Schizosaccharomyces pombe: one gene and its partners. The protein of the gene in region 2 interacts with the protein of the main gene of each other region in a biochemical or structural test. Each region holds a gene or a part of one and is shown on either strand. Other genes may lie near its edges. The genes, in order: plo1, mid1 and rng2.

Region 1 (9,713 bases), on a different chromosome or scaffold from region 2:
ACAAGTCTTCCAATATCCTTTAAAGTTCTGGTAAGTTGACGACTTTCACGACGAGTAAGTTCGTAACCGACAGCCATCTTATAAACCAGTTTTGAAGAAATCTTAATCTCGACACCAAGAAGTTTAGTACCATCCCAGAAATGTAATACACCGCCTTTAACCCTTTGCCATATTGACGGTTTTTTAACCACAGTAGTTGGCTTAGTCTCTTCCGCAGCAACCTGTTTCGGGGCTTCCTTAACTTTAGAAGGAGTAGGAGTTTCTGTAGAGTAAAGTCTTGAAGAGCCGATATTATAGAATACTATATCTGATGGACTATATTTATTAAATTTGACAGGAGAGAGTCTTTTATCAATCAAAAAATTTCCTCGCAGACCTGAATAGCTTCTAATAGGTTGGTTCCTGATTGTAATTCCCGTCGCCGGAGCGCCTAACCTCCATTGAAAGCCTACAAAACGTTAGTACAAATTGAAGAGCAATTTGAAAAAGCATTAATATCCTTACCAGTCTGATGTGGGGTTTTAAACAAACGATTCCGAAGCATACTGGGGAATTGGATATGCGTTCTTGGATACTTCATCAATTTGACTCGGCTTGTTTATGAAATAGTAAAGAGATTTAACGCATGCTACGCAAAGCTTCATATTCGTTAAACTAATTAGTGTATTGTCCGTTAGGTAATTTCCTCAATCGCTATTAACATAGCATAGCGTAGGTAGAGAAAGCATTTTATTTACTAATTATGTATTGCTGGAATTAGTTTATAAGTACTTTAAAAGCAAACAGTTCTTTTATCGCATCAGCCTATTTATTATAAAAATGTTCCTGCTATTTGGATTCAACGTGACAGTTGCTAGTAAAAACCAGTACTATTGCTCTTTTGATATACTTAGTGAAGTATAAATTAATGCCTTGTAAACAATAAATAATGCTACTATTAATTAATTTAATTTGGTGTTACAAAGTCTGTGATTCTTAATATGCAGCAGATTGAACTCAACTGTACACATTTTACTGACATAATTAGCAAAACATGTATCTAATCTGTGAAAAGGATTTCAGTTACAGCGAGAGAATAAAAATCAATTAACATAGCTGTGACTAGTCTAACATTTTGGATAACACTTGGAACATTGAGATTTGTGAATCCTTTTGATTAGATAAATAAGTGTCGCCTTAAGACAGAATTTGCAGCGATCAATTTAAAAGCAAAAAATAAAAAATTTTGAAAAGGGATTAAGCTGATATTTGCAGCTATAATTTAAGTTTATAACTTATTCGTCAAGAGCTCCTGCGTTTAAAAGATGTATCTGAGGGAAAGAAATAATAAAAAAAGAATTAGTAAAACATTAACATAAAACTGAATTGAATGGATGAATAGTACAAAAATGAGGATGTGAAATATGGAAAAATAGACAGCATAGTAACTTAACGCCCAAGTATAGATTAACGGTATTATTAACTCACTTCCATTTTCGACGCCCACGATTCCAACGTCTCGCGAATATACTTTAAGCGAGATCTCAAGTCTTCTGAAAATGCGGATGCTTCTTGCAAAGGCAATTCCACTCTCTCTCGCTCTTTATCTAATACAATGATCTTCCGTGCGGTAGAGGAAATAACAACTTTTCGATGATCCAGGAAATTGAACTGAAAAATTCCGTTACTTAATCTAAACATTATAGCTTGACGCGTACGAAGATAATGCTGCATGAAAAGCATGGTATTGGAAGTTGAGTTTTTGGGTTTTTCAAAACTCTCATCCTGCACAGCCTTCGAAAGATTTTGTCCCATATAGCTTTTAAAGTGCTTTAAAAGCTGAAGTTTACTTCTTATAGATTCAGGAACTTTGGAAGCAGGATAAATATATGGCTTAATTTCTGTATCTTTAGGATGTAAAGCATACTCGACAACCTCCTCATCAGCTGAAAAAAGCAAGGATGTATCATCATTAAAGTGTACGCCAACCGATTCATCGGATAGCTGGTATCCTAAACCATATTTGTTGGAATAATCAACCCACTTTGTAATAAAAAGAACGGGCTCAGAGTCAGCATCCTCTGAAGTTAAAGCGTGTGTATGTGCTTCCAATGCCATCCCGATTTTAAGAGCTGTCTTCTTTACGCTGATCCAAATGTCTGATTTCATATTTCCAACCTTAGAAAGTCTTGAAACTGTATTTGCAGATAAAGACCGAATTAATTGAATAGGTTCAACTTGTTCAGTGACAGCGCTCTTAGTTGGAACAAATGATTGTGATTCTTCTCTCAAAACTTTAACTCTTGAGCCTAAACTTCCATCAGTGGATTTACGAGCTGCATGGAGGGCTGTAGAGAGCTTTGATGGTACAGGTTTGGTTTCCGGTCCTATTTTCATAACAGGGTTGACACGGTCCCTTGGACTTAAAACACTTGGTAATATTCGATCATTATCAACTTCATCTGTTCGAAGTGCATAAGGTTTATTCTTTTCTACACCTGCTGAATTTCCAAAGCCTACTCCGGAAGCAGAGGCAACGAAGTCCAGGTTTCTCTGAAAGCTTGATTTTGATTGGGAAGAAGGCCATATAGGCATTGAATGTAAAATTTCATCTGGAAGTGTAGAAGCCATATAGCCAGTGTGAAAGAATTCATGGTCAACAATATCGTCAATACTGGGACGAATGCTTGGATCATGTGTCAGAAGAGAAGAAATTAAATCTTTTGCTTCTGCAGATATGTCGACATTTGAAGGAAAACTATATGAGTTGGCTTTTATCTTCCTATAAATTGTCTTTACCTCTTTATCCTGGAAGGGTGGCTTTCCAATCAAGAGGGCATACATGACTACTCCAGCACTCCAAAGATCAACTTCAAATGAATGTCCTTCTTTTGAATTGAACAAAATTTCAGGTGCGATGTAGTTCGGTGTACCACAGATAGTCATTTTACGTTCTTCGTCATCCATTAAAAGCGCGGCAAGCCCAAAATCACCAATTTTTACATTGTTACTCTCATCAAGCATAATATTTCCAAGCTTTAAATCTCTATGAATGACTCTCTTTTTATGCATATATTTCAAAGCTCCCAAAATTTGCATCATTAAATACCGAACCTCTGGCTCAGTTAATTGTTTTCGCTTACGTAAAAGTTCCATTAAAGATTTATGTTCACAAAGCTCCAAAATTAAGTAAATATTCGTCGAATCTTCAAAACAATCTATAAATCCTACGATGTTTGGATGACTCATGGATTGGTGCACCTTTATTTCTCCAAAGAGCTTCAGCTTTGTTTTATCATTTTGTAGTGACCTTTTAGCAATAACTTTAGCAGCGTAAATATTTCCATAATTATCTTTGACTCGAAAACATCTCGCAAAGCCGCCTTCACCAATGCAATCGTAGCGAGTGTAGAATATATTTTTTTTATTATTATGAAGATTAGTTGGCGGAGTAAAGCAAAGACGAGAGGCTTTGGACTTCTTCTTCGGGGTTATAGCAGTTTTGGGCTCTTTAATTGCAACACTCGCCATTTGGTATTTGTTTCTAACAAAACGCAGGTGGTAACTTTTGAGGGTAAACAAAGTGGTTGCTACGACAACCGCTTGTTTGTAAATAAAAATCTGTGCATTGTAATATTTTATGTAGTAATTACAGAAGTACGGCTTTAGAAAATTTAATACAAAGCTTATGTGCAAAAATTTCAGTAAATTCGTACTATACATAAATCCTTGAAATTATAAAATACCTAGAAAGATAAGTTATGTTAACAAAGTAATATAAAACTATTAAAGTCAAATTGTATTTAAGTAAATATGATCAATAGGTAGGTCGACTGCATTAAAATCATTATGGGATAAATAGTGCATTAATGTCAGCATCAAAATTCACCTCTGCCGTGTTGTCAGAAGTTCCCCTAACCGATTTTAATAACGATTCCCATCGATTTCTCCAACGCTGTTTTCTTTTATTCTGGCAATCAAGGAAGTCGGTATCTCTAAGGCGCAGGTAAGATGCATCTATGTAAGAATCTTCTGTGCGTGGTAAGTAGAGCAATTTAAACGAGTCTAAACATAATTTTGCTTGCAATCCGGAAACCAATTCTGCAGATCTTAATAACTTTGTTTGAAGGCGTGAAACCAATTGCTCAACTGTTCTTTCTTTCTCTATATTTCTGCAAAGAAAGGGACAACGATAATTTTTATAAGATATTTCTTCAGTAAGTTTTTGTATACGATAATTTTGAACATATTTTTTCCAAACTCGTCTCTGTGTATCCAAACTTTGATCCACAATAAGATTCGCTCGCTTCATTATTTTGATTCCAAATGATTTAAATTTGTTTATCCAACAAAATCGAAACAAAATTTCATCAGGATTCAAAAGCTTTTCAATTTCCAAGCGATAAAGAAAGTCATCATAATTCTTCTTAGGCGAAGCAGAACTATTTTGTTCGACTAAACTAGTAACGAATTTGTATTTTCCATCGGAAACGATGTGGTGGACTTGTTTAGCAGCAGACCAAACGAGTTTATCAATAGTATATATTTTATAGGCTTTATTGCCATAATAAAACCGCAGATAGTCCTCGAAGGCACTTTGATCAACTATCCCATATATTAATCGAAGAATCATCACATAAGTATTTTCGTAATGAGTTTTTTCATCAGGGACATCTGAAAGATCATTCCACCTATCGCGCCAAATCTTTTGTTTTTGAGATACTGGGTTTGGTATTATACGCTGTTGGATAATGGACACTTGATCCTCCAAACGCTGAAGCTCATAAAGCCTTTCGTATAATAAGTTAAAAAGTCTAAAAAATACGTACATAGAAGAATATCCAAACTGTTCTTTATCGACGTCGTCATGCATTTCATTCTCCGTATCACCAGCATGATCTTGATGTTCCAAAAGACTATCTGGATGACTTGGATATTTGAGACTGGCTTTAATGGCTGCAGCAGGTTGTGAAAGCTGTTTCTTAGAAACCGGCGTTACGTTTCCAGATTCATCACTTAAAGAGTTTTGAGAGTTAGATTGTGATTTGTTACCGGATTCTTCTTTTTTGCGAGCAGCTGCAGCTGAACGACTTTCGCGTTGACCATTGATTTTAGGTTGTTTTACAAATTCCGTCAACTGGGTTATAGAATTAGATCTTTTCCGACGTACAGGCTTGTTACCAACTATATTCGGGGCATTCACATCGTAATCAGGACCACGAAAAACTTGATCCAGGAATATCGAAAATTTATCCTTTTCAAGACCAAAATGTAAAGGCAATATATTCTTGAAAAAATGCTCAACTTTCTTTAAACCAGAGGGAGAGTTACATACAATGTATGTGCATACCATATAACAAGTATCAAAAAGTACTATTTCGTTGTCATATACAAAAGAAAATTCGAAAGCTGATCTACTTCGCAAAGGAAAATGGAGCTTCGCTTGCGATCGTAGAATGTCGGCTTCTGCTAAGAGAAACTTTGAAGATACATTCTTCTTATCTCTTGCCTTAAAATAAACGCATTGTGAATCTAAGCTCTTATCGTAATTTTTAAACTCAATACTTCGCCATCCAGGTTGAAGACTTCTTTTAACAGACTTCCACTCTTCGTTTTTTTCTTCTAATCTGCTGATTACCAATGGTAATGTGAGGCAAGGCATTCTTTCCAAGGCCTTAAACATTTCCTCTGCATGCTCACTGGTATAAACAAGCTTAATAGTTTTCTTGTATATACTTTTTGATGGTAAACCTAGCCCTTCCTCGAGAGTATATGTTTCTCTTTCCTCTTCCGGCAATTCATTTATACGGTTCTGAATTTTTTTAAGAGACTTGATTGTCCAGGAAGTAGCTTCAATATGCCGATCAAATTCATAACGTTCCTCTTCCAACTTTGTCATTGCCTCTTCATAAGGCGTTTTCCTCTGAACAATGAAACCGCTTTCTTCAGATGCCCAAGTTGGATGACTGACCCAGTCATCATTAAGTATACCCCATGCAAAATCATCTCTACCGCTGCAAGAAATATTGCGTTCTTCGACAGGAAGCAATCGGTAACTCGGGCCACATTCCGGGAAGTCTGAGCAAGCGGAATTGTATACAGATAAAAACTCTTCCGGACTCAAACTAGTAAGGCTTAAAAAGCTTCTCCAAAGTCCCGAATTCGATTTAAGAAACCCAAACCCACGACTCACCAGAATATTTCTATCAATTATCCCTTGAACGTACAAATTCAGGAGTTTTAAAAATTCGTGGTAAGTTTCTACATCGGTAAGTACATTTTTCACATTTTTGAAAAAGTCACTGCTCTCATTTGATAAATGTGAAAATGGTGAGAGGTTGTCCGGCCTTGATTGACTAAGCAAATCAGAAATATTACTCAACGTAAATTGGGAACTCTGAATTCCTCTTAATGGAAACGATCCTAGAGGAGGTTTACTCCCAAAAAAGATGGAGCTTGGTAAAAAGTTGTGAAACTCGTGGGCTAAAGATGGATGCTCCGCTAGCAAAGACGTTACAATAGTCTGAAGCTCAGAAAGCGAACACTCAGAGTTTTTAAACTTACGAAGACTATCCTGTAATTTAAAGAACTGTTCGGGATTGCTCAATAATGCTCGTCGAACTCGTGAAACAAATCCTATAGCTCTATGATAGGTACAAGGTAAGTCGTTGTAAGTAGCTACATAAGTAGACGGTGTAGAAACTGGACCAGATGGGGTGGTAAATTGCAATGTGAAGTTGGCACCGCTATTCGATAAAAGGTATTTATAAGACGAGGGCAAAAAGATGTTCAAATATTCTAAAAGATCTGGGTAATCTCTTAAGATTACAGATATTCTTTCAATAAACCCGGGAAAATCGACACTAATGTTCATGTTAATAAGTGAATAGTAATAAAAAAAGAGCTATCTCAAAGCAACTCAGTAAATAAGCCATATATACATTTCATTGTGTAAAGCCTTCACAACATCCATGAAAGCGCTATAAACATAAGGACGATGACACAGTCTTTGACCCAACTTTTGAACGAATGCCTTTATATCAAGCTCGGGGAGTGCGGTACCATTAGGGGAAAAATCATGGACTAATTGATTCTGCATCTCGGCCACTAACGTTGAGTTGTCTAACAACATTGGTTAAAATGAGTTATGTATTAAATTGATACGTACCATTTTTTAATATCGCTAGTGTTTGTTCCATGTATTTTGATCTTTAACCATCAAATGACTAGGAATACGATCTCGTTTATTTTGGAGGTGATGATTTGGGAAACGGCAAATGCAACTAAGCGCACAAACTCGTCAACGCATTACATGAACTGACGCTGATAGCCAAAGTTCAAATGATTTATCAAGACATGAACACAAATACCACATTGGATGGTGTTTTACACTTACAACGAATACTTTAGAAAAAATACTAACGAGAAGAATCAAACCCAATATAATTGTTAAAAAATATTCCTTTTAAATAATTAAACACTACATCTAAACATTATTTTCTAAGAATAATAGAGATTTAATAAAACCGAAACTATGCATCGTCTTCATCAAGAATAAGAAATCGAAAACTATCTACTTTCAAAGTTAAGTTGTCGACTACTTTACTTAAGTGCATTCGCAAAACAAACAACCAAGATGGTGAAATAAAGTTTTTAAATACGAACAGGAATGGCAGAAGAAATTACGCTTTAAAAATGAAACAAAGTAAACATTCAATATAAAATTTTACCTCAAGAATAAATCAAAAGATGTGACACAATAGATTAACCACGTTAAATTTATAATGTTCGCAAACTAAGACGAGGAACCTTGGTCACATAAAAGCGGATGATTGGCGAATTCTGGTTGAATGGTAACATCATATATACCAAAAGATTGAAGGACATTACGGATATCCGTAGTAAGCTTTGTATAAGACTCTCCCTTATCATCAGGAAGTGTAACGCAGACATGAACAGTGGCAATTAATTTAACGTCCGAAAGCTGCCAGATGTGGAGTTCATGAACAGATTCCACGCCGTCTAGATGATTAATTAGGTTGGAAACATCATCCAGTTTGATGCTTTGAGGAGCAACTTGTAATAAGATGAGAGCAGCGGATTTACAGAGAGGAATTGCGCTAAAAAGAATAATGAAAGTAAGAAGGATACTAATGCATGGGTCAAAGAGGAAACGCCAAGAATAGTCAGTATACTTGATGAATAAAGCAGCACTAATAACACCAATATTACCGAGAGCATCACCCAAGACATGAAGAAAGACACCATGCATATTCAAATTTCGTTTCTTCGTTTGTTTTGGTGCATCTTGTTCAATACTGCCATGGTTGTTGACTGGCTTTGAAGTACCAGCACCATTATGATTACCAGTGTAACTCAATAAAGGAGAAGATTCGGTAGCAGAGTCTGCGACTTGAGTGTGTGTATGGCTGACTTCTTGTTGACTGGTATTACAACGATGAACGATAGTCGAAGGTAAAACGGATTCAATATCATCTTCTTCAGGAAAATCGTAATTTTGAGCGGTATGGGTGTGAGGATGATCATGACCATGGTCATGAAATAAAAAGATACCAACGAAATTGCTTAGCAGACCTAAAGAACCAACAAAGAACATAAGGGTGGGATTGCTGACAGAAGGAGGCTCAATGAAGCGCTCTATGGCTTCCATAAAAATGAACATGCAAAGGGCAATGAGAAATACACCGTTCGACAAAGCACCTAAAATCTCTGCACGTTGCCAGCCATATGTGTATTTTGGTTCGTGAGATGTTGAATGTGCTAGACGAGTAGCCCAGAGAGCGACCAGTAAACTGACAATGTCATTTAACATATGAAATGAATCAGCAATTAGGGCAAGTGAATCGATCGCATAACCAGTAATAATTTCGATGAAGAAAAAAGTAACATCAATACCTAATAAAAGGATAATCCGAGTTTGTCTTGCGAGGTCGAACATAGTTTGAAAACGAAAAGTCACCAATTTCAAAAAAATGGTAAGGGTTGAATTTCACAGGGAGAAAAAGGAATAAGGTAAATTTAGAATGAAAGGTGGCTTTTTAAAAATGAATTTAAATAAAAGAGGCGCAAACTTGCTATATTTAACAAAAAAAAAAGCCAAAATAAGACGAAGATGCGAGAGGGTTTAAGAAAATCTAAAGAATCAAATATCTGTAATTTTGCTTTCCTTGTTTTTACAGAATAAATTAATTAAACCAATAAACCTTCAAAAAACTGCCAAAACTGCCGTTTTTGATAGTAAATTAAAAAGGAGGCTTTTGAGAAGTAAGCGGTGAAGAAAAAATAAAATCACACGTTGACTACTATTAGTCTGCTTTAACAAAGTTTTGTAAGTGACTGGCCACTAATCGCGTTTACCACAAAAGGAACTAACAAAGACTACCTTTTGAAATTTTCTTTCAATTCGGTGTTAAGAATAAACGCACAAATTAGTCAAAATAGTTAGAAGATCAAATTTTGCGATCGAAAATATTTATCTGATAATAATTGATATCGTAAAAGTGACTATTATTATTCGTAATCAGATACAACGAATTACAGAGTATCGCAGTAATAAACGAGTTAATTATAAGCAATATGCACACATATTTGGATCGTCCTTTCTATGATTTTTTGGGTAATGAGTGAGCGACAAGATCGTACTTGGTAATTTGATTGATATTTCGTCGAATAGGTTCTACCGCTTTACCAAAAGTAATTAGTTAATAAAGCTA
Region 2 (10,612 bases):
AGATCCAATAGTACACGATTCAATTCATAGCTCGTATTAGCAATTTATAAAGCCTTTCATTTTTTTCGTAAACCCCTCTACAAATGCTATAAAGCAACTTCGTAAAATAACAAGACGAAAATGATAGAGAAATAAAAAAGTACCACTGGTGTTTGCATAATAAACCCTAACAATATAAATGAGTAAAATGTTTAAAAGAAAAACCGATAGTTCATATAAGTTAAAGCAGATAAGAAACATAACTAGTACTTTTTATAAGTTCATAATCGACTAATCGTCAATAAACATAATTTAAGGTGCCTTTGCGAACTCTTGAATTCGTTCCTTGTGCAACGAAATTGCCCTCGAAACAATGTATTGCTCGATTTCTACCTTTTTTACAATGTCATCGTCGCTCAAATGAAGCCATTCAACCGTTTTTGAGGTTACAAACGCGACAGATCGTTTCCTTGTTGAAAGAAGGTTGGCGATCACCAGCTGGTGGTTATAACGTTGTAAAGCTACTCTTGCTTTATCAATCAGAATACTAGGGTCGGTTTCTAATTTAAAGGAAATAATAGAAGCTTCAGGAGCCCATGTGTCAACCAAGAAACGCAGAAATTTTGGAACCGGATGCATTTTGACTTCTAATTTGTTACTTCCAGAACCACTTTGAATTTTGTGCTCGCTCAATTCCTTCGGTGGAATATGGAAATCACTAACAGCAGCTGCTAAATAAAACAATGCTCTTGAAGCGATTATCTGTAAACGTTCAGCTATAGCTTTCAGGTACCACAAATATTCTGTGAGTGTAGTATAAGGAATCATTATCAGTCGATGATGTTTCGTATATGTATCTAATTCGTTGAGTGCATTGAATACTGTCGATTGAAACTCTTGTTTGACAATCCAAGGCTTCTCCTGACTGCCATTACTTCTTTCAAACAAATTTGTCCAGGGACCTTCATATCGTCGAGTAAATGGCATTAAACTATAATTTCTATACAGAAAAATGACCGAATATCCAGACTTGCAAAAGTATTCAGCAGATGCTGCACCACGATTTCCTGCACTAAAGTTATCGATAAAACGCACCGTATTTTGCTCAAGAGGCACAAGTGTGCCGCCACTAGTAACAAATGCAATGTTTTGGGAGTTTGATTGAAGGTTTATAAAATCTTCAATCAGACTTGAGACATCACCGAGTGAGTTAGGACAAGGATTCTCCTCAAAGAAATCGTTAGATTTATCCATTTCTGGCATATATTCTAAATAGCTAAGAGTATCGCAACCCAGAAATGCCTCTCTTACGATGAGCTCAAAAATAAACAAACGACGTTTAAAAAACTGTATGCGTTATTGCTGAATGATAGGACTAGAGAACTCACAAAATCTGAAATGCTAACCAAACAGTTCTCTAGCAGCTTGTAAATTCAGCAAGTAGTGGTCTGTTTATTGAACAATGTAGACGATAGCGACACCACAAACGACTGAAACGCGACACTTTGTGATTGTATTACACTTAAGGCCTTTTTTTTTTATTCAACTCGTGCTTGTCTTTTATGAAAAGCTAAAATTAAAATAAATTTTAAGTTTGTGTTTTAATCAACTTAAGACTAAAAATTTTCATTTATTTGCGCTCTGTTGGGTAACGTGGTTTAGTTACCAACATTTTACTGATTATCTAAAATGAATAAATCTCCAATTGAAGAGGAATTTGATCTTCGGAAACAGCACCAAAAGCTATTAAAAAAAAATTGCCAGAAAGAAATTGAAGATTTTGTGAAATGCGCTACTGGCAGGACTTTTAGCGTAACCTGGAAATGTAGAAGTGAAAATAAAACGATGAAGGATTGTTTAACCAAAGCGTAAGAAACTTATTCATCAATCATGTATAAAAAAGGATATGTAACTAATATGGAATATGCAGCGCAGACGAAATATCGGAGTGGCAGATCAGGTCGGAATACAATAAAGCTAAACAAGAAAGCTTTATCGGAAAGCAAGACGAAAAGAAGTAGCTAATTAATGCATCGATAATATCGGTATTAACTGCTATTAAAATACTAGTTCCAATACAACATAATGCTACGATTTCAATTAAATTGACAAACATTCTCTACTATAAAATATTTCAAAAGCTCCTCATTACTTTTCAATTTAACGTAATGGTAAAAGCTTTCAAAGTAATTATTTACAAAAAAGATTCATGGTTTTGCATAATAAACATGACCGTTCGTCAATTTATTAATCATTAGAGTAGCAATCATTTATTAATCAAATATTTGTTTGTGCACTTTCTTCAGGTGGGACGAAGTGTACTCCCTTCCCATTGATAAAGTCATCGGTTGATAAACATGACAGGCGATAAACATTGAGGCGAATAAATTTAACAATAGTCTCAAGAATTACTAAGTCGACGTCTGGGCGACCAACGAAAAGGTTACGCCAAACGGATGTAGCCAAAACAGCATCACTTCCCAGCATTCCTTGATCATAACCAAAAATGGCGCCGGTCTGTTGCTGAAACAGATCTTTCAGATACATACCAGAAATTCGATTGCTATTAATGCGGTAATCTTTATGAATTCTGAGTTCCATGTCTTCAAAGAAACGAGTAGTTAATGCCTGTGAAAAGGCAACTTTTTCATTTTTTGGCAAACCACGAATGCGAGTATGGAGGATCCACAAATGTAATTGCGTTATTTGAAACCAAGACTGAAATGTCATAGGAATTTCACACTTCTGGTACCAAAATTCAAAAGCACCTAGCGAGTTTTTTTCGGGGGTAGCTTGTCGAGCAGCCTCAAAATACATGTATCTTGCAGTACCAGTAGCCTCATAATATAAATTTTGTTTAGGAGAGATATATTTTTGATAAATAAGACTTATTTTCTTTAGAAAACTATTTGGCGGAGCCACTTTACGTGGATCTTGAGGAGGTGTAAGGGGTTTGTATCTGAGTTCTTCTACTGGGTCTCTTCTCTTCGTTTCCGAAGGTGAATGATTAATAACATTTATTGGAGAAAATGAAAATCTTCTTCTTAAGGGACCGTATATACTCTTCCCCCATACCGGCTGCTTAACAAATGCTGGTCTCAATGGCAAATTTAAACAGCAGCGACTCATTACTGAATGACGATAAGGATCTTTTGATAATCTTTTCTTAATTAATAAAATTAATTATTACCTGCAAATAAATACGTAGGAGTTGGGTTGAAATAAAAAACGGATCGATTAATGTCGTACAATATAAAGGGGAAGAGAGGTTGTGACAGGTTGATTGCCAAATACAATGTTATAACGAACGATCAATATTACGAGGCCATCATTCTTCCTAATTAAGTATACTCTAAAATTTACTGGACCATTTTAAATTTGTTTGCAGTTTCAGTAGTATATCTTCGCCGTTTAATCGTACCAAAGATTGTATCTATTTATTTTGCTTTCTCAATTAGAAAACCTAAATTAATAACCTCTTAGTTGAAAATGATTATAAATATTACCATGAACTAAACGTAATAAACTTGTAAATTGCTTCAACACTCATTCGTTGACAAAAGTTCTAAATTCTCATGTCTGCCATTAGCGAATCATTTTAGCATCAAAAATTCAATTTATAGATTTTATGGTCAACGGTATCAAGGCGCTCACTTAACCAATTGTTATCATCTAGCAATGCAGCTTTGTCTCCCCCCACAGGTATTTGTTTAATAATTTTGTCGTAAGTAGCTTGCTTTTTACGGCAGTCCTTCAAGAGAAAATCATTCAACAAATCAATATATATCCTCGTCTCATTCAATCGAACATTTACCTTGTCTAAACGTACGACAAGGCGTGCTAACAATATTAAATGACCCTGAACAACTCGAGCTCTCACATCAAACATTGATTTTCCATTATCTGCTAACTCATCTTCGAAAAGAATTATCTCATTGAACCATAAATTTTGTCCTGCGTTAAGTATTTTTTGAACAGGTATTACCTGATCAATTTCAATGAATTTTGCATTTGGACGTTGTATAGTTCCCTGATAATCAGTATAATAAGTCCAATCAAATGGGTAAATCACAGGGTATTCTTCTCCGGGCTTAATTCTGGATTTGGCCCAGTCTTTTGCAAAAGAAACTTGCATTACATCTTCAGGTTTGGTACCAACCATTTTAAGAGCATCTTCAGTAAAAAATCCAACTACAGGCTGATTCTTGTATTCAATTGAGATGTAATTATTCCCAAAGGTCATCTCAGGAGGTGGAAAACCCAATGTACTTTGAAGGTTCTCCATCTCATGGCTTTTTAAAATTGACCCCCGTTGGACTTTGATAGTCCAATATTTAAATGAAAAATCATCTTGTTTTTGCATCTCCTTTAAATAATGTGATTTGAGTAGTTGCTTGACCCCTATATTATTGTAACAATTTAGAGTGCGTACGGCAAAATATAGGTAATGTAAATTTAGCCAACACAAAACACCTTTATATTACTTTACTCATTATAGAGTATATTCAAAAAACCAAAAGTTGATTAATTATTCAGATTAAAAATGAAAAATGATCTATAAGTATTAATTCAGTAGTTATATAATTTCAGTTCAACTCCCTCATTTAGTAAATCCGATAAGTAAAAATTATTCAAAAAATACATTAAGACGATTAGTATTCATAAATTCAGATATTAAGCCATAAAATTCACGTATTCTTGTAACCATAATTTCTCAGTACCCCTATCTAGAGCAAACGAGCGTGAATTCATCACCTGAAGCCATTTTTGGCAAACCTTTTTAGAGTCCGCAAACAACTGAACATGCCTTCTATCAACAGATGTAGCCAATATTCCAGCTACTAGACCGAGGTTTGAAACTGCCTCTGAAAAATTTACCATTGGGATTGAAACTACTGTCTTAGAAAGCTGAAAAGTATCCAAATATTGCCCACCTTTTTCAGCATAAAAATTCAGCTGCTTTGAGCGTAAAACGACAAAACGTCTTCGAATAGATGAATCTTCCAATCTATACAAGTATCCCTCATTATATAGATAGTTACTTCTAACGTGTCGCAAGTCCATCGTAGCTTGTTCTAAGGTAAATGGCAATTCCTGCTCTGGAACCGAAAGCTCAGGAATATACAAACAAGTCAAAGTTAGATTACCAAGTGTACGTTTCCCTATAGAGTTTATTTTTACAGGAATCGCTTCCAAGAAGCCTCTGGAAATGATGGGTATTTCTACGTTGAAAGCCTTTCCAAAACAACTGTCTTTGACATTACCCAAATTTAACGTAGCAGTACCCGAGACTTTCTTGATAACCACTGACTTCTTAGCCTTTGAATTCTCAACTGCAGCAGCCTTGTTGAGTTTTCTCTTTTTGCGTCGGTTGAAAAGCTTGTCAAAAAATTTCCTAGCTTTGGATTTCGTTTCAGCAGGCTTACCGTTTGAAACGTCTTTTGTAGCAGATACTCCTTTCGAACCGTTGGACTTGTCCTCAATAGGGATGTCAAGAAACATAAAACTCACTTTAAAGTTATCGTCAACATGAAAAGCAAAATCATGGTCCAACCTATTATTCCCATTAACAGCTTGCCAAGGAAGCTGCATATTTTGCGTAGGCGTATTAACTATTATCTTGATAGGTGAATGGACTTCACTTATCGAAATATTCAAAATGCTGTTCAAATGTATATAAAAGCGACCAAGTGGCAAGGGCGCCTTTGGTTTCTCTTCAAAAAATGTTTCATTCACAAATCCAAGAGAAGTAACAGGACGTGGTGATTGATTTTCAGTACCATTCGGGACTTCGTAAGACGTACTCTTATCCTGACTTGGAAGATCAAGGCGATTCAAATCAAAGGAATGTGCACGACTTAAAAGTTCGCTATCTCTGGCTACAGGCGTAGACTGCCTAAGTTCATCAATGCTGGCGGATATCTCGGCACTAGGGTCGTAAAAACCTACTGTACCAGTTTCCGAATAATTCCATCCTTCGACGTTATGGGACTCAGAACTGACTAAACTTTGGCTAGACTTGTTTGGCTCATTTTCACAATAATTACTATAAGTACGCTTCGTTCCTGGTACGGGTTGCATTGATGGGTGACGTAAATCTTCAGAGCTTAAAATAGCACTCAAATTGTCAATGGTAGAACTGCTTTTTATACGACCACGTTGACTAGATATACTATATCCCACGGAAGCAGAAGTTAGATTGTATCTGGGGACTTCATGATACGTTACAGATCCATGACCATAGGCGGCCTGAGATTTCGGAATTGAAGTGGCACTAATATCCTCATCCATATTTTCCTGTTGTAAAGAATCATTGATAATAGTAGAAATCTCAGGTTCTGAATTACGGGAAGATTGAAGGTATAACTCATCATAGTCTTTACCGTTGGTGGGAAGGGAAAGCTCAGAGAAATCATAAACTTTCCTAAGTGTACTAGCATAGGAAGATCCACTGGAAATCCGTTTTGCTTCCATCTTGGCCAAAACCTTTTTACGAAGACTTTCTGTAGAGATATCTGAGTCGTCTAAGGTGGCCTCTGGGACTGAAGAAAAAGGCTCTGAAGTATCTTCAACAGGGGCTTCCTGAATGGGAGCTAAAGGTTCTAAAGGTTTATAATCCATATCGAGAGACGCCGTCGTTTCGACCCTTTCCAACGCTGGATTGTCCTCTGTGGTATCTTTGGGAAGACTAGGAAGAATCCTTGGACCTACAGTAGAAGATGCAGATAGATGTGCTGGAGGTACGGGCTTGACATCAGATGGTATGCGAGCCAAGTTGGGAACGCTTCCAGCTCTTGCTCGGGCTGGGTTTGTAGACAGTTCATTATGGGATTGATATGGATGTTGAACAGTGTATTCCAACGGAGACATTGTCTTAGCTCGACTAAATTCTGCTACTTCTACCGCCCTCTTGCGAGACGATTTGGAGCGGTCAAAGGATAATTCAGCTAAATTTTGATCCGGATTAAATGTTTCATAATCTGCAACAATATCAGCACCTTTCAAAGACGCAGTAGAAGAACTTGTCGAGTTCATAGTTCCTGCCGAGTACGTCAAACTAGGAATGCGACCTTCTTCCTCGGAATTAATCCTCTTAAACACTGATGTACTACTCATTCTTTTACGATTATCAGGACTATGTTGAGAAGAAAAAGATGAATCGAGGTGCCCATAGCCATGCATATACATGCTTCTTAAATCAAGTGACTCTAAAAGATCTGTCGCAACGTTTAGTTCCGAAAGGTTTCCAAGGGACATATCGCCATCTCCATGTGTAAAGTTTTTTGTTTGATCATATCCCGAGGTTTCATTACTGTTACCCTCAAAAAAAAGGGGTGTTTTTTCTCGATTTGGAGAAGAAAGAAAACTGTTTTCTAAGCCTTTAGAGTCAAGAGACACATCTTTTGCTTCTCTATATGAGAACTCTTGCTCTTTCATCGTCAGGATAGCTTAATTAGACTTTACAGACTATAATACCTTATCGAGTGTTAAAATGTGGACACAGTATCATATAAGCACCCTGAAGTACAACAAAAGACGAGCCTTCTTCTTTATAGCAAATATTAATTCAAATTCTATTAAAATTGATGCTAAAAGCACGAAAACCTCTTATAATTTATTGAAATCCTTCTTCACCTCAGTCATGTGGAGTAGGCATAGGTCACACAAAATCGGTAGACGCTATGATAAGTGGTAGTCCCAGTGAGAACACTGATTATATGGTTAAACAATTCAAACTCTGGATATACCATAAATCGAAGATTAAAGCCAAGTTTCCTTTTTAAAATTAACAAAAAAAGGCTAGTTGCATTGCAAATATGAATTATAGCTGGGACATACTTGCAAAGATAATATTGTATTATCAGTATGCTTATGAATAGCGATGAATAAAGTCATTAGTATGTAAAATAAAATAAGTAAAATCATATTTTGTTGTCTGCTATTTTCGCAGAAACTAAAAAAAAATACATAAAATGAATCTGTTGATAAACAGCTTTTAATTTACAAATACACGAGCAGTTAAAACCTAAAACTAACTATCGGGGCGTAACATTTACTTAAAGCTAAAACCCATACTTTTGAGAAGATGCCTTTTTGTTTGATCGTTGCTGCTCAAAATAAGCTTCAAAGTTGTCTTTTTGACTGATAGCCATTTCAACAAGAGAAGACAGTTGATGACGACCAGGTGCAACACTTTTAATAGTAGGGGCGCTTGGCAATGCTTCTTGGGTCGGTTTTGGAAGTTTGTTGATATCAACGTCTATAATTCGTCCCTTCTCTTTTCGGTGGCGTCCAATTTCAATGTAATCTTCATTGATAATGTTTATGTCCTCTGCATTTGAATGTACTGAGTGATTAGCAATAGAAATGAAATCGTTCTCGGGTTGATTCCTCAATTTCGGAGGATTTGCTCTAGCTTTAGGTTTTATCAAAATTGGTTGGTAAGGTTTCTGATCGGAATCTACTAAAGAGGCTTGCTTTGACTCTGATCCTACGATATTAAATAACGAAACGTTACCAGACTTTTCTGAATACGTTGATTTCTTGACAGTTTCGGAGGATCCAGTAGAGGTTAAATCGCTTACAGAGTTATTAGGTAATAAATAGTTTTCATTTAAATCAAGGTCCGATCTTTTAGATGACTTTGGAGCTAATTCAGCTTGATTTTTTGGGGCAGGCAAAAGTTCAAGTAAATCATTAGATTTAAATCGTTCATTAGAGATAACATCAGATTCATTAAAAGTTTTATCATTAAAAGAAGATTTCTGTAAATCAACTTGCCGTTTCAGGCGTTTAGGTGACTTTTTAGTGCTGTCAACCGACAATTTTCTGCGCGCATGCTGAAACAAAGTAGGATCGAAACTTTTAGAAGCTAATGGTGTTTCTTCTTCAATATCGCTTTCGGATTCTGATCGAGGATATGAAACCAGAGACATATTTTATTAACTTTTGATATTAAGTCGTTTAATAATTCTGAGCGAGCGATTTGTACTCGGTAACTATTCTCACTGCGAACAGAATTATTTATGGCAATTAATATACTCGCATCTGCAAGATGATTTACATATTTATTCAAACTTAAATTAATTCTTTAAGTAAGTCTTAAAAAGAAATAATATTTAATTGAATGCTACCGCCCAACGTTGCTAGCTAGCATATGTGGTATTTTATATATTAATCACCCAAAAAGATTCCAAATTACCATTAATTTAATTTACTTTTATAAGCTTCATAAATATGAGAGTTTAAAGCACTGCAATTTTCGTAAACTTAATTTTTAGGATAGGCCAAAACATGGCCAAATCTTGAAGACTGGAAAAAGTACCGACTCGAATACTTTTATCAATCAACTGTTAGTAGTCGTAACCATGGTATCATAAACCGAACATATCTCTTCAAATATATCAATTTATGACAAACCACAATACATATTTAAATAATCATTAACTTGTCCGTATCAACTTTTAAGCCTCATCAAACTGACGATTAGCAAGTTCAACTAAATGGTCCCAATTGACATGCAATGAGCACCAAGTTTCTACTCCAGCAATAATTAGAATTGCAGCTCCAATTCCAATCCATAAACCGTACAGCCCCCAATCTAGCTTGAAGCAAAGGATTATGGCAACAGGCAAACCCAATAAATAATATGCGATGAAATTTACTACCCCACCAATCCTTTGTCTTCCTTGTCCCCGAAGAAGGCCTCCAGCTACACATTGTGTATTATCGGCAATATTAATGAGTGCAACAAGGGGAATGATAGTTGCAACCAATGCGACGACATCTTTATCAGACGTAAAAATGTAAGTCCATGTGTTGCGAGTTAAAAAAAGGATTACAGCAATGATAACACCAATTGCAGCACCTAAATTGATAGAAACGTGCGTAGCTAGCTTAGCGAGTTTCGTATTTCCAGCACCAATTAAATTTCCTACTCTTGTGGCAGCTGCAGCAGCGACACCGAAAGCCAAATTATAAGAAAGGGTCGAGGTAGTAGACAAAACAGACATAGAGGCTAATTCAGTGGTACCCAACACGCCCGATGCGAAAGTAACGAGTTCAAAAGCCCAGTACTCACTGCAAATCATAATTACACCAGGAACAGCCAATCGACATAACGGGCCCCAATTTTTTAATGCTTCTCTACTAAAACCTCCCCATGCTTGTCGTCCGTTTACCTTCATAATATAGATAATTAGAACAGCACAAGCACTCCATAGCGTTAATGCTACAGCGACCGGTGCACCTAGAAAACCGAAACCAACCCAGGGACTCCACACAAAAAGGTAATTAAGAAAAATATTAATAGGTACAACAATTGCTAAAATGTATGTTACAGGATGAAATATACCTTGCACCTGAAGGAAACGTTTTAGTGCTTCAAATAATGCGTATGCCGGACTAGCCAACATCATTACTCGCATATACTTTGCCGCAAACATACAAGTAAGAGGATCCTGTCTAAGGAATAAAAGTATGCCCTCTATTTTCCACCATATCAAGAAAATAGGGAATTGTATCAACAACAATATGGCCAGAATCCTCTGTAAATGTAAACCCACCATTTCGTAATTTCCAGATCCGAAACTTTGAGTTCCAACGGTATCCAAAGCAGATACAATCCCCTGAT
Region 3 (12,443 bases), on a different chromosome or scaffold from region 2:
TAGTCTTTATTTCGTAAGGGTGAGCAGTAGGATAGATTCGAGCCAGAGTGTTATAAGCCTCCTGAGATCTTTCTTTTTTAACTAACAAACGAGGAGATTCGGGTAGCCAAATAAGAATGAATAATTGGAAAGCTGCAGGAACCATTGCTAAACCAACCATCCAGCGCCAACCATTATGGACGTGTTCAAAAGCTGTATCAATTCCATAGGCAATTACTTGACCAGCTGTAATTAATAAAACATATATGATAACCAACCTTCCGCGTATTTTAGACGGAGCGATTTCACTTAGGTACAAAGGAATAATAAGTGATGCAATGCCAACGCCCCAACCGATAACAAAGCGACCTACAATCATATGCCAAAGATGGTGAGCCGTAACCTGTACTATGGAACCAACTATGATGATGATACTAGCTATTGCAATTACCGGTTTTCTACCAAAAAAGTCGGCAAGGGCACCAGCAATTATCCCTCCTAAAAGTGCACCAAGAGATGTTGCAGAGGTGATAAATTCTTTACCACCATTTGTTAATTCATGTCCGCCCAAGCTAGTACCTATAACTACAAGAGCACCTGAAATGACACCTGTATCATAGCCAAACAGTAGACCACCGATACCGGCAGCAAAAGCAAGCACCCAAACCCATTTGCTAACTGGTTGATCTTCAACAGTGTCGTTAAGTGCGTGTGGCTCAGATAAAGAAATGTTAGAATTGCTGCGACTTCGAGCTCCGTTAGATAATCTAGACACGCTGTCCACAGGAAGCACCTGGGTTTTGTTTTCAAAAACCGAGGATTCAAATGGACTTTTTTTATCAGCAGCAAATGTATCGGCAGCGAAAGTATCATCAGCGAAACCCGCTGACGTTACATTTTGAAAATCCTTGGAAGAGATTGACATCTTGCTGAAACTTTTGAATGTAAATTAATAAGATTATAATTAAAGGAATGGTTTTTAACGTTAACAAACTAAACAAATAAATCGTAAGTATGACAGGAAACCTAAAGATGAAGTAAAAATCGATAATGAGCGAAAGCGCTAATAATTTTTTAGCATTCGAAGGGATATGTTCAAAGGATTGCTATGATATGCAATCAGTACAACCCAGAAACTTGTTATATTTACCGCTTAGATAAAAGATGTATCCGAGGAACTCTGTTCTTAAACGAAAAAAAAGACGTTAACAAACAGTTACAACGGATAAGACCGGAATTTTCGAAAGAGAGAAGTAGAAAGTGTTGAAATGTCAGCAATTAAGAATGGTTGTCTCACACTTCTTAACAATAAAACCAATGAATCTTTTTGATTTTTTAACGTTTCTAGATAGAATTGTTTAAAATACGTTTGGGTTAAAGAGCATTTAACGGCAAACTTTTTGACAGCGGAAATTAATGTGCGTCTAGTAAATGAAAACAGAAATTAAAAGGTATTCAGACAAAGAGATCAAACGTTAAGTAATTTTTTTTAAACTTTTTTTTTTTTTTTTTTTTTTTAATTGAGAAGGAAGTAGTTTTTAATAAGCTAAACAGACGTCAATCAACATAAACACATAGAAATATGGATCAAACCAAATGTGCATATGCGCTTAACACTTAGCAAAGATGCGTAATCGGCAGAATTAAATGCTTTGGAAGCTGGTTTGAATTAGCAAGCTGAATCGTTAATCAAAGTATAGGAACATAAACCCAATGGTGACTTCAATAGAACGAATCGATTGAGTATATCAATTCCAAACGCTTTGTTAATAGAGAAAAATAGCACAGCAACAGAATCGTTTTGACTTTTAGCAGTTGAGGAATGTAAAAAATGTAGAAGGGCATATATATATATACATGCGCTACTGCAGCATCCGATTCGTAATAGCGGAACGAACTAAGGTAATACAATGTAAGCTCGTTATTTTTATGCTTCTTTTGTTTTACAGTCTCGATTTTTGTATTAAATTAATTAATTATTTATTTTTGGTTCTGTAAATAAATAAGAAAAAAAGTAACGACTTTTCTGTAGAATATAAGTTTAATTTTGTGACTTATTGCTGCTTATAGTGGGTTTATTGAAATACACAATATTACTCGAAAAAAATCAGACATTTTGAAAGACTAATTCAAACGTTAAATACAAATCACTATGTTTGGTATCCGTAAAAAGCACCTTGCTATCAATTAATAAATTACTACTTGAATTTCGAATGGATGGAGGCAGCAATAATTCAATTCTTATTTTTTAATGCTGTTCAATATTTATTTATTTTTTATGTTTCGTCCAAAAAAATATTGGATTTAAGTGCCGCATATAAAATTTAATTTAAAATACGAGCGAACTACTGCCGACTTAAAATAGATAATTTGTATGCATATTTCAAGTGGAATAAAGCCGATAAAAACGTAAAATTGAAAAATTATTATATGAAGTGGACTTGTTATAAACGGAGTAGTAAAACATAAAAAACCATTACTTCTTAAATTTTTCACTTCTTTAATCTGTACTTATTTTAAACAATTCTATTTGTAATTTCGTAAATGCGATATTTATGGGTTTATTAATTTCTTAAGTATAAGTAATACACGAGTGCAGTCAGCATAGCCAAATAATTAATTTTTAGAAAACAGTTATGAATTTCTATTTGAAACAAAGTACGATTGAGAAGCGAATTGTTCACTTGTCCACCGTTTGTATTTGTATATTATTTGCAAAAGAATAAAACGCAAGATAAATGTTAGCCGAAAATATAACGTTAGCAATGTTATTCCTTTTAATATTCAAGAATTGGTCGATCTTATCATACGAGAAACGTGAACGTATGATACAAAGCTATTCCCAGCTAATAAATAAATTTTTCTATGAATAATAATTTATTTATTAATCGTAGATTCAGAATTTAATTGAAATATTATAATAGCTCAAATAGAAAAATTCCTAAACACACGTACAATAAGATACGTTGCAACGCGTTAACACACTGTCGCTCTAACTAAAGCTATCTGTTTCATTTAACCATAACCAAGATACTTCGATAATTTTCCGCTTAGTCGCCTCACAAATAGGTTAGTGCAATCTTTTTTCAAAACCCTCACACTTTGTAGAAACTCAAGAAAATGTCCTTTGATAGAAAAGATATTGGTATTAAGGGCCTCGTGTTGTACACTCCCAATCAGGTATGTTATAAATGAGTCGCTACTTTATTTCAAAACTTCTCCTCCAAATTATTTGCATGCATTACCTACATCTTTTTTCAATAGTACAAATTTACGCAAGCTTCAGAGGAAAGTAATAGAAATACTTTCTCATTAAATTCCTTCAGAACCTGATATTAATCGTTTTTACCCTATAGTATGTTGAACAAGCTGCCCTCGAAGCGCATGATGGAGTCTCTACTGGAAAGTATACTATTGGCCTCGGCTTGACTAAGATGGCTTTTGTCGACGATCGTGAAGACATTTATTCCTTTGGTCTTACCGCTCTTTCTCAACTTATCAAGAGATACCAAATTGATATAAGCAAGATTGGTCGTTTGGAAGTTGGAACTGAGACTATCATCGATAAATCTAAGTCTGTCAAAAGTGTTTTAATGCAACTTTTTGGGGATAACCACAATGTCGAAGGTATTGATTGTGTTAATGCCTGTTATGGTGGCGTGAACGCTCTTTTTAACACAATCGATTGGATTGAGTCTTCTGCTTGGGATGGCCGTGATGGTATAGTTGTCGCTGGTGATATTGCTCTCTATGCCAAGGGCAATGCTCGTCCTACCGGTGGTGCTGGTTGTGTCGCCCTTTTGGTTGGTCCTAATGCCCCTATTGTTTTTGAACCTGGTCTACGTGGTACTTACATGCAACATGCTTACGATTTTTACAAACCCGATTTGACGAGTGAATACCCTTACGTTGATGGCCATTTTTCTCTTGAATGTTATGTTAAAGCTCTTGATGGAGCATATGCTAATTACAATGTTCGTGATGTTGCTAAGAATGGAAAAAGTCAAGGACTTGGATTGGATCGTTTTGATTATTGCATTTTCCACGCTCCTACTTGCAAACAAGTCCAAAAAGCATATGCGCGTTTATTGTACACCGATAGCGCTGCTGAACCATCTAATCCCGAGTTGGAAGGTGTCCGTGAACTTCTTAGCACCCTGGATGCTAAGAAATCCCTTACCGACAAGGCTTTAGAAAAAGGTCTTATGGCCATAACTAAAGAGCGTTTTAACAAACGAGTTTCCCCTAGTGTCTATGCCCCTACCAACTGTGGTAATATGTACACTGCCAGTATTTTCTCTTGTTTAACTGCATTACTTAGCCGTGTCCCCGCTGATGAACTTAAAGGAAAACGCGTCGGTGCTTACTCTTATGGTTCTGGTTTGGCTGCCTCGTTTTTTTCATTCGTTGTCAAAGGCGACGTCTCTGAAATTGCCAAGAAAACTAACTTGGTTAACGATTTGGATAATCGTCATTGTTTAACCCCTACGCAGTATGAAGAGGCTATTGAGCTACGCCATCAAGCACACTTGAAAAAGAATTTTACTCCCAAAGGAAGCATCGAACGTCTTCGTTCAGGTACTTACTACCTTACTGGTATTGATGACATGTTCCGCCGTAGCTATTCGGTGAAGCCTTAAATCACCGAAAAAAAGATTAGAATGCAAACTAGATACTGTTAAAATCTCTTTTAGTAGACTTTTTTTTGATACATGAATATGTGATTTTGACAACTTTTTTGTTAATTATTTAAAACTCATACGTATTGTAGTCTTAAAATGAATAACCTTCATTTGTAATAGCATAACCTAAATAATTAGAGTAAATTCGTCACTAACGGACAGTATCTTGAATTAAACTACTTACACCTAAAAACCCCCCACTCATCTTGATAACCCACATTTTCTTTGTCTGAGTAACAGCTACTCTCCACTAACATAGCCGAAAAATTGTGTGCAGTTACTTTATCTAGTTTGAGATCGAATGCTGAGTAGGTAGTCATCAGAAGTCTCAATGGACGTAAATGTGGGATTATCTAGACTTCAATCTCAAGCTGGGGCACCTGTTGGCACGAAAGGGTCGAACACTCGTTTAGCAGCCAAACAAAGAGAAACCCTTCAAGCATATGATTATTTGTGTAGGGTTGATGAAGCAAAAAAATGGATAGAAGAATGCCTCGGCACAGATCTAGGACCAACGTCTACATTTGAGCAGTCGCTGCGAAACGGAGTTGTCTTGGCTCTCTTGGTTCAGAAATTTCAACCCGATAAACTAATCAAGATATTCTATTCTAATGAACTCCAGTTTCGCCATTCAGATAACATTAATAAGTTTCTTGACTTTATCCATGGCATTGGGCTTCCCGAAATTTTTCATTTCGAACTGACTGACATTTACGAAGGGAAAAATTTACCCAAAGTTATCTATTGTATTCATGCCCTTTCTTATTTCCTTTCTATGCAGGACTTGGCACCCCCTTTAATCAAGAGTGATGAAAATCTATCTTTTACTGATGAAGACGTTTCAATAATAGTCCGTAGACTCCGACAATCTAATGTAATCCTTCCTAACTTCAAAGCTTTAAGTGCCGATTTTATGCTTCGTGCTAGTCCTGTTTCTTCTCGCACTCCTTCCCCTACACGATTTCCCAAGCATGCTCGTTTCCAAACCCTAAATTCATCAGATTCTGCATCTATATATTCGTCTCCTTATACTTCTCCTACTTTAGAATTTTCGAAGAAAGATGCTAGCGCTCGTTCAGACATCCTTAAGATGCACAGAAGGACGAAATCAGCGACACCTTCGTTAGAACAATTTAATGAACCATATAAACAAACTTTGCCTAGTCATTCAATCGAATTCGAAGACTCTTTTTTTCAACCCCCTTCTCAAAAGGGACATATGCAACGATCTTTCCTCACAACATTTTCAGCACCCACAAGAAGACGGGAGGCACTATTTTCTACCACTTCTGGACTTAGTCAGCGTAGCCCTGTCGATGAGAAAATCGTGAACGCGATTCAAGCTTGTGGTCGTGGCGTACTTGTGCGCTTGCGTTTGGTGGATATGTTACAATCCCTCGTGGAACAAAGTTCTTCTGTCGTACTTCTGCAAGCCGTAATTCGTGGATATATATCTAGAAATACATACAGAATACGAAAGAAAGCATACGATGAACTTGTAAACTGGGTTACTTCTATTCAATCCATCTCTCGTGCATATCTGATACGTGCACAATACCGTAAAGTGGTTTTACAGGAGGAGGCAACGAAGTCAATCCAAACGTTACAAAGCATTATTCGTGGGGGTTTCTATCGTCGTAAATACCACTCGTTAATAGAGAGGCTAGACTTATTTACACCATCATTTGTGTTAATTCAATCCTCAGCTTTAGGATTTCTTACCCGTCATGCAATAGTTAATATGCTTGACAACCTTTACAACTATATCCCTCTCTTTAACCGGATGCAAAGTATACTGCGTGCAAATATGTTTCGGAATGAATGGTCTAACTTTCTAGATTCCGTACAATCGTTTCCCGTTTCTTTTCACTCTATTTGCAAAGGACGCTTGATAAGGGATTCTATAAACAGATTAAATGGATCACTTCTGGGAGAACTGGATAATTTTATTAAACTACAAAATTTATCTCGAGGATTTATGATTCGTCGGGCATTTAAAGAGAAATTGGAGAAATTAAAAGCATCAACATCCTCTTTCATTGCTCTACAGGCAATTGTTCGGGCTTTTCTTTTAAGAAAAAACTTGGAAAGCATTTATGATTCTTTTCAAAAATCGCACCTATCTGTCATTAAAGCCCAATCTCTTTATCGGGGATTCATTACTCGAACCAAAATTGATTATTGTAACGACTATTTGTTAAAGCGATTACCAGATATCGTGTTTATGCAATCTGCAGTCCGTGCAATTCTTTTACGAGATGATGTGAATTATACTGAAGTTCAGTTAGATTCTTTTATTCCTGAAATTGTATTGTTACAATCTTTAATTCGTGGGTATCTATCTCGAAACAAATTTTCAAGAAAACTTCAAAATTTTCATAAGAATATGGAGAATCCCATAGTTGCGAAGTCCATTTTTAGGGGTCGTCAAGAAGGGTTGGCTTATAGAGAACTTGCTACGGCCAAAAATCCACCTGTTATGACGGTCAAAAATTTTGTTCATTTATTAGACGACACCAATTTCGACTTTGAGGAAGAAGTATTGCTTGAAAAAATGAGAAAAGAAATTGTGCAACAAGTACGAGACAATGAAGAAATTGAAGTTCACATCAATGAACTAGACGTGAAGATTGCTTTGTTGGTTAAAAACAAAATCAGTTTGGATGATGTTTTAAAACATCACAACAAGTATAAATTTGGAAAGCAAAGCACTGAATATTTAAAAATTAATACTCTGTCTATGAAGTCACTCAACAATTCAAGCAGAAAATTTTTGGAACTTTATCAGTGTTTTTTCTATGTGTTACAAACCAACGAAATGTACTTAGCAAATTATTTTCAAGCGCTAAAAACTGAGGGCACTTCCTCTGTAAAGATCCGTCATGCTGTTTATTTAGTTTTGCAAATTTTCGGCCATGGCTCTAACCGACGAGAAGAAGTACTACTTTTGAGATTCATTTCCCAAGTCATTAAGCTAGAAGCAGCTTTAGTTAATTCATCTCAGGATCTACTTTCTGATGACTGTGTCTGGAAATTACTGTTCACTGGATATCGTGGGGACGTTCGTGAAGTGAAGCTTTGGAAAACTATTCTCGGCCGCATTCACAAGGTTTTAGTAGCCGACAATCATTTGGATTTTGAAATCAATCCGTTGACTCTATTTAAAAGTTTCAATCCTGAAGTTGCCAGTCAAACTGATAGTCCAAAACTCACTTTGTCGTTAGCAATGCAACACCCACCGACAAGAAATCTATACGTTAGCAGACTTCGTGAACTTCGAAAACTGTGTCAATCATTCCTAGTAGCACTTTCTAAGAATATTGAAAATATTCCTTATGCTTTATGCTATACTGCAGCACAATTGAAAAATAGCTTACAACGATATTTCCCCGCTGCGCATAAAGAAGAAATTTTTGGCGTAATAGGGAAATTTGTTTATTGGGCTTATGTCGCTCCTGTACTTGTGTCACCCGATAACTTCAAGTTGGTTGATGGCTCTATTACAGCTCTTCAACGAAAAAACCTTTACACATTGTCAAGCATTTTGTCTGAGATCTTTTCAATCGAGTCCTGTGACTCTAAGCAACTTGGTTTTTTTAGACCACTCTCCGAGTTTATTGAGGTGTCCAAGCAGGATACCATGTTGATGCTAGAAAGGCTTGTCGATGTGGTTGATCCAGAGGTGTACTTTGAGTTCGATGCTTTTGAAGACCTTGTTAATACCAAGCGGCCAGTAATATACATGAAGCGAGACGATATTTTAGGCATTTATTCATCTATTGCATATGTCATAGATAGTATTGCTCCTCCTGATGTGAACGATCCATTACGCGCTGTTGTCAATAGCTTAGGTCCTGTTTCAGAGCAAGACAATGACTTTGTGCAAGATGAAACTGACGTCAAACTAGAATTGAATCCCAAATTTTGCACTATAGAAAATCCCGTTGCTCAGGAACGGACTCTTATTGTTCAGACAAAGAGATATATATTATTTATTATTCGAATTCAAAATGGCCTTAATCTTTTGGAAATACTTGTCAAACCGGTTACAGATTCAGACGAAGCAGCATGGCAAAATTTATTGGCAGAAGAATCTGAAAAGAATGCAAGGAATTATGATTTGTTTGATGATTCTATCTTTTCAATGTCATTTGCAGAACTGAAATACACTGCACTAAGCAATATAGTGGAAATGGAAAAGCTTGGATTTGCAAACCGACGGAATAATTACCAAGATATGGTAAATTCTATCGCTCTAGATATCCGTAATAAGTCGAGAAGAAGGATGCAACGACAGCGTGAACTTGATGCGGGACATCAAAGTTTGCTTAACTTACGAGAAAAAAGAGCTTTCCTTGATTCGCAGCTAAAAAGTTATAACGAATACATTGAACAAGCTATGGAAACATTACAATCAAAGAAGGGTAAGAAGAAGCTTATTCCTTTTTCTAAACAGTATTTTCACATGCGAGATCTCCGAAAATCTGGACGCGTTCCTCGCTTTGGGTCGTTCAAGTACCCAGCTCTTAAACTCTATGACCGAGGAGTTTTGGTATCAATATCTCATATGCCGCAGAAAGAAAAATTGTATATTACTATATCAGCCGATGAAGTTGGCAAATTTATTCTGGAAGCAACAAGCCCGACAGTTAAAGTTTCGAGCCCAAGGTGTGAATTGCATTTGGACGACTTGTTGTCTGCTCAATATAACAAGGTTTTAACTTTGGATGTTTTGGATGGCCGTCTCAAATTAAACACCAATATGTTCTTACATTTGATTTTCTCCAAATTTTATTCATGAGACGTTTCACTTTGTTCATTTTTCCGTCTCTTTAACTACCCAATGATTTAATTCGAATTAACTTAAAACCGTCAAATATCTTTGCACATTAATACTTGTCCATATTCTTTTGGCGAAATATGTATACTATGTGATATTTTCTCCCCTTTAATTCTGATAATTTGCACAGTTTTCCCATTTCATTCACTTAGTGTGGGGGGTTTTTTTATCACTACTTGTGTTTACTTATACTGTACAAATCTTATTTAACTCGGTGTTATTTTTCAAATTTTTTTTTTCAACTAAAGCCGTTGAACCTGAAACACTAAATCAAGGAATAGGAATTTTTGGTTTATGCATACTAGTTGTACTTGGTAATTTATACTTTCTGAATTAGTTAAAGGTTTATAATTACAAATAACACTTTTTTATAACAAAATGTAATTTATGTCAATACATACATCTTTACTAATTCTTATAAGGCGATTCGATTGAGCATGATTATGTTCAAATTAACCTTTGGATATGGGTAGGTGTTTGGTTGACAAACTTCTTAAGCGTGTTGCATTTTAACGAAGAAAATTTGAATTTTCAAATCCCGTATAGCGTGTAAAAAAATATACATTAAACACGTATTATGAGCAGAAGACTACATAGACCTAATATGAAATAAAACGCACAAAAGAATATTACGCACAAATAATGGCGAGGGTCACCACCATACAAAGTAATATTCACTACCACAATTCAGCTGACAAATACCATTACCTAAATGGCGTCGTTACCACCGGGGAATCCTCCTCCACCGCCTCCTCCGCCTGGATTTGAGCCTCCTTCACAGCCTCCACCTCCTCCACCTCCAGGTTATGTGAAGAAAAGAAAAAACAAGACTCCAGCACAGTCTGGAAATCTTGAAAAGCAACTTAACGAAAGAGCACGCAAATGGCGCGCTTCTCAAAAATCAAAGTTTGGTGTCAAAAGGAAGCAGGGTTATGTTCAAACAGAGAAAGCTGATCTTCCGCCTGAGCACCTGCGCAAAATTATGAAAGACAGGGGAGATATGTCTTCTAGGAAGTTTCGTGCTGATAAACGTTCCTATTTGGGCGCTTTGAAGTACTTGCCACATGCTGTGCTAAAATTGCTTGAGAACATGCCAATGCCTTGGGAAGAATACAGGGAGGTCAAGGTTTTATATCATGTAACCGGTGCTATAACTTTTGTAAACGAGAGTCCTCGCGTAATTGAACCGCATTTTATTGCTCAATGGGGAACGATGTGGATGATGATGAGACGCGAGAAGCGTGATCGAAAAAATTTTAAGCGTTTGCGGTTTCCTCCTTTTGACGATGAAGAGCCACCATTTTCTATTGATCAATTGCTTGATTTAGAGCCGTTAGAGGCTATTAGAATGGACTTAGATGAAGAAGATGACGCTCCTGTTATGGATTGGTTTTACGAAAATAAGGCTTTGGAAGATACTCCCCATGTAAATGGTCCAACCTATCGTCGTTGGAAGCTTAATTTACCTCAGATGGCTAATTTACATCGTTTAGGTTACCAACTTTTGAGTGATTTACGCGATGATAATTACTTTTACTTGTTTAATGACAATAGTTTCTTTACGGCTAAAGCTTTGAACGTGGCTATCCCAGGAGGTCCGAAATTTGAACCTTTATACAAAGACGAAGCCCCAGAAATGGAAGATTGGAATGAATTTAATGACATTTATAAACTTATTATCCGACATCCCATTAAAACTGAATACCGGATAGCGTTTCCTTACCTTTATAATTCTAGAGCTCGAAGCGTTGCACTAAGTGAATACCACCAACCGTCTAATGTTTTCGTTCCTCCTGAGGATCCTGATCTTCCGGCTTTTTTTTGGGATCCCATAATAAACCCCATCACTTCCCGCCAACTCACTTTGCATGAACTAGATACCTCTCCCGAAGATTCTGCCATAGAAGAAGATCCTAATTTTGAAATCCCTTTCGATCCTTTCTTTCATTCCGAAGATATAGAATTTGAGCACACAGCCAGTGCTCTGATTTTATTGTGGGCACCCCATCCTTTTAATAAGCGATCTGGTGCGACTAAGCGTGCGCAAGATGTTCCACTGATAAAGCATTGGTATTTAGAGCATTGTCCTCCTAATCAGCCTGTTAAAGTTCGTGTGTCATATCAAAAACTTTTAAAATCCCATGTTATGAATAAGTTGCACATGGCGCATCCCAAATCGCACACCAATCGCAGCTTACTTAGACAGTTAAAAAATACTAAATTTTTTCAAAGTACTTCTATCGATTGGGTTGAAGCTGGTCTCCAAGTTTGTCGCCAAGGGTACAACATGCTGCAATTACTTATTCACAGAAAAGGGTTGACATATTTACATTTGGATTACAACTGTAATTTAAAACCTACAAAGACATTAACTACGAAGGAAAGAAAGAAATCTAGGTTTGGTAATGCATTTCACTTGATGCGCGAAATACTTCGCCTTACTAAATTAATTGTCGATTCTCATGTACAGTATCGTTTGGGAAACATTGACGCATATCAGCTAGCTGATGGATTACATTACATATTTAATCATGTTGGTCAACTTACGGGAATGTATCGTTATAAATATCGATTGATGCGGCAGATTCGTGCTTGCAAAGATTTCAAGCATCTTATTTATTATCGCTTCAACACTGGTCCTGTTGGCAAAGGTCCAGGTTGTGGGTTTTGGGCTCCCAGTTGGCGTGTATGGCTTTTCTTTCTACGCGGAATTGTTCCTTTGCTAGAGCGCTGGCTGGGCAATTTGCTTGCTAGACAATTTGAAGGCCGTCATTCTACAGGAGTGGCAAAACAAATAACCAAGCAGCGTGTCGATTCTCATCAAGATCTAGAATTGAGGGCTGCAGTGATGAATGATATTTTGGATATGATACCTGAAGGAATTCGCCAAGGCAAAAGCAAAACCATTTTGCAGCATCTTAGTGAAGCTTGGCGTTGTTGGA

Evidence for each region.
Region 1: of the proteins of mid1 (region 2) and plo1, one has a biochemical effect on the other in vitro, tested with the Schizosaccharomyces pombe proteins (one study listed by BioGRID).
Region 3: the proteins of mid1 (region 2) and rng2 form a complex in vitro, tested with the Schizosaccharomyces pombe proteins (one study listed by BioGRID).

The regions. Positions count from the first base shown.
Region 1 is NC_003424.3:2,158,037-2,167,749, reverse strand, and holds plo1 (Polo kinase Plo1), read right to left. Parts: upstream 3,520-9,713; 5' UTR 3,511-3,519; coding exon 1,459-3,510; 3' UTR 985-1,458; downstream 1-984. Other genes in the region: putative potassium ion transporter Mdm28, read right to left, coding at 1-448, 505-544; Clr6 histone deacetylase complex subunit Pst2, read right to left, coding at 3,827-6,842, 6,921-7,101, 7,148-7,178; ER zinc importer, CDF family, Zhf1, read right to left, coding at 7,775-8,938.
Region 2 is NC_003421.2:1,142,800-1,153,411, forward strand, and holds mid1 (anillin-related medial ring protein Mid1), read right to left. Parts: upstream 7,637-10,612; 5' UTR 7,417-7,636; coding exon 4,654-7,416; 3' UTR 4,517-4,653; downstream 1-4,516. Other genes in the region: ppc1 (phosphopantothenate-cysteine ligase), read right to left, coding at 292-1,242; cytochrome c oxidase biogenesis protein cmc2, read left to right, coding at 1,669-1,847, 1,910-2,000; ubiquinol cytochrome-c reductase assembly protein Cbp3, read right to left, coding at 2,257-3,108; TIP41 type 2a phosphatase regulator Tip41, read right to left, coding at 3,584-4,342; protein Cwf20, read right to left, coding at 8,043-8,915; SPOM_SPCC4B3.13 (MatE family transporter), read right to left, coding at 9,444-10,612. UniProt on the Schizosaccharomyces pombe protein: Scaffold protein that anchors the contractile ring (CR) at the cell equator during cytokinesis.
Region 3 is NC_003424.3:2,640,525-2,652,967, forward strand, and holds rng2 (IQ motif containing GTPase activating protein), read left to right. Parts: upstream 1-4,903; 5' UTR 4,904-4,992; coding exon 4,993-9,462; 3' UTR 9,463-9,903; downstream 9,904-12,443. Other genes in the region: myo-inositol transmembrane transporter Itr1, read right to left, coding at 1-904; hcs1 (3-hydroxy-3-methylglutaryl-CoA synthase), read left to right, coding at 3,100-3,159, 3,336-4,619; U5 snRNP complex subunit Spp42, read left to right, coding at 10,214-12,443. UniProt on the Schizosaccharomyces pombe protein: Component of the contractile F-actin ring; required for its construction following assembly of F-actin at the division site.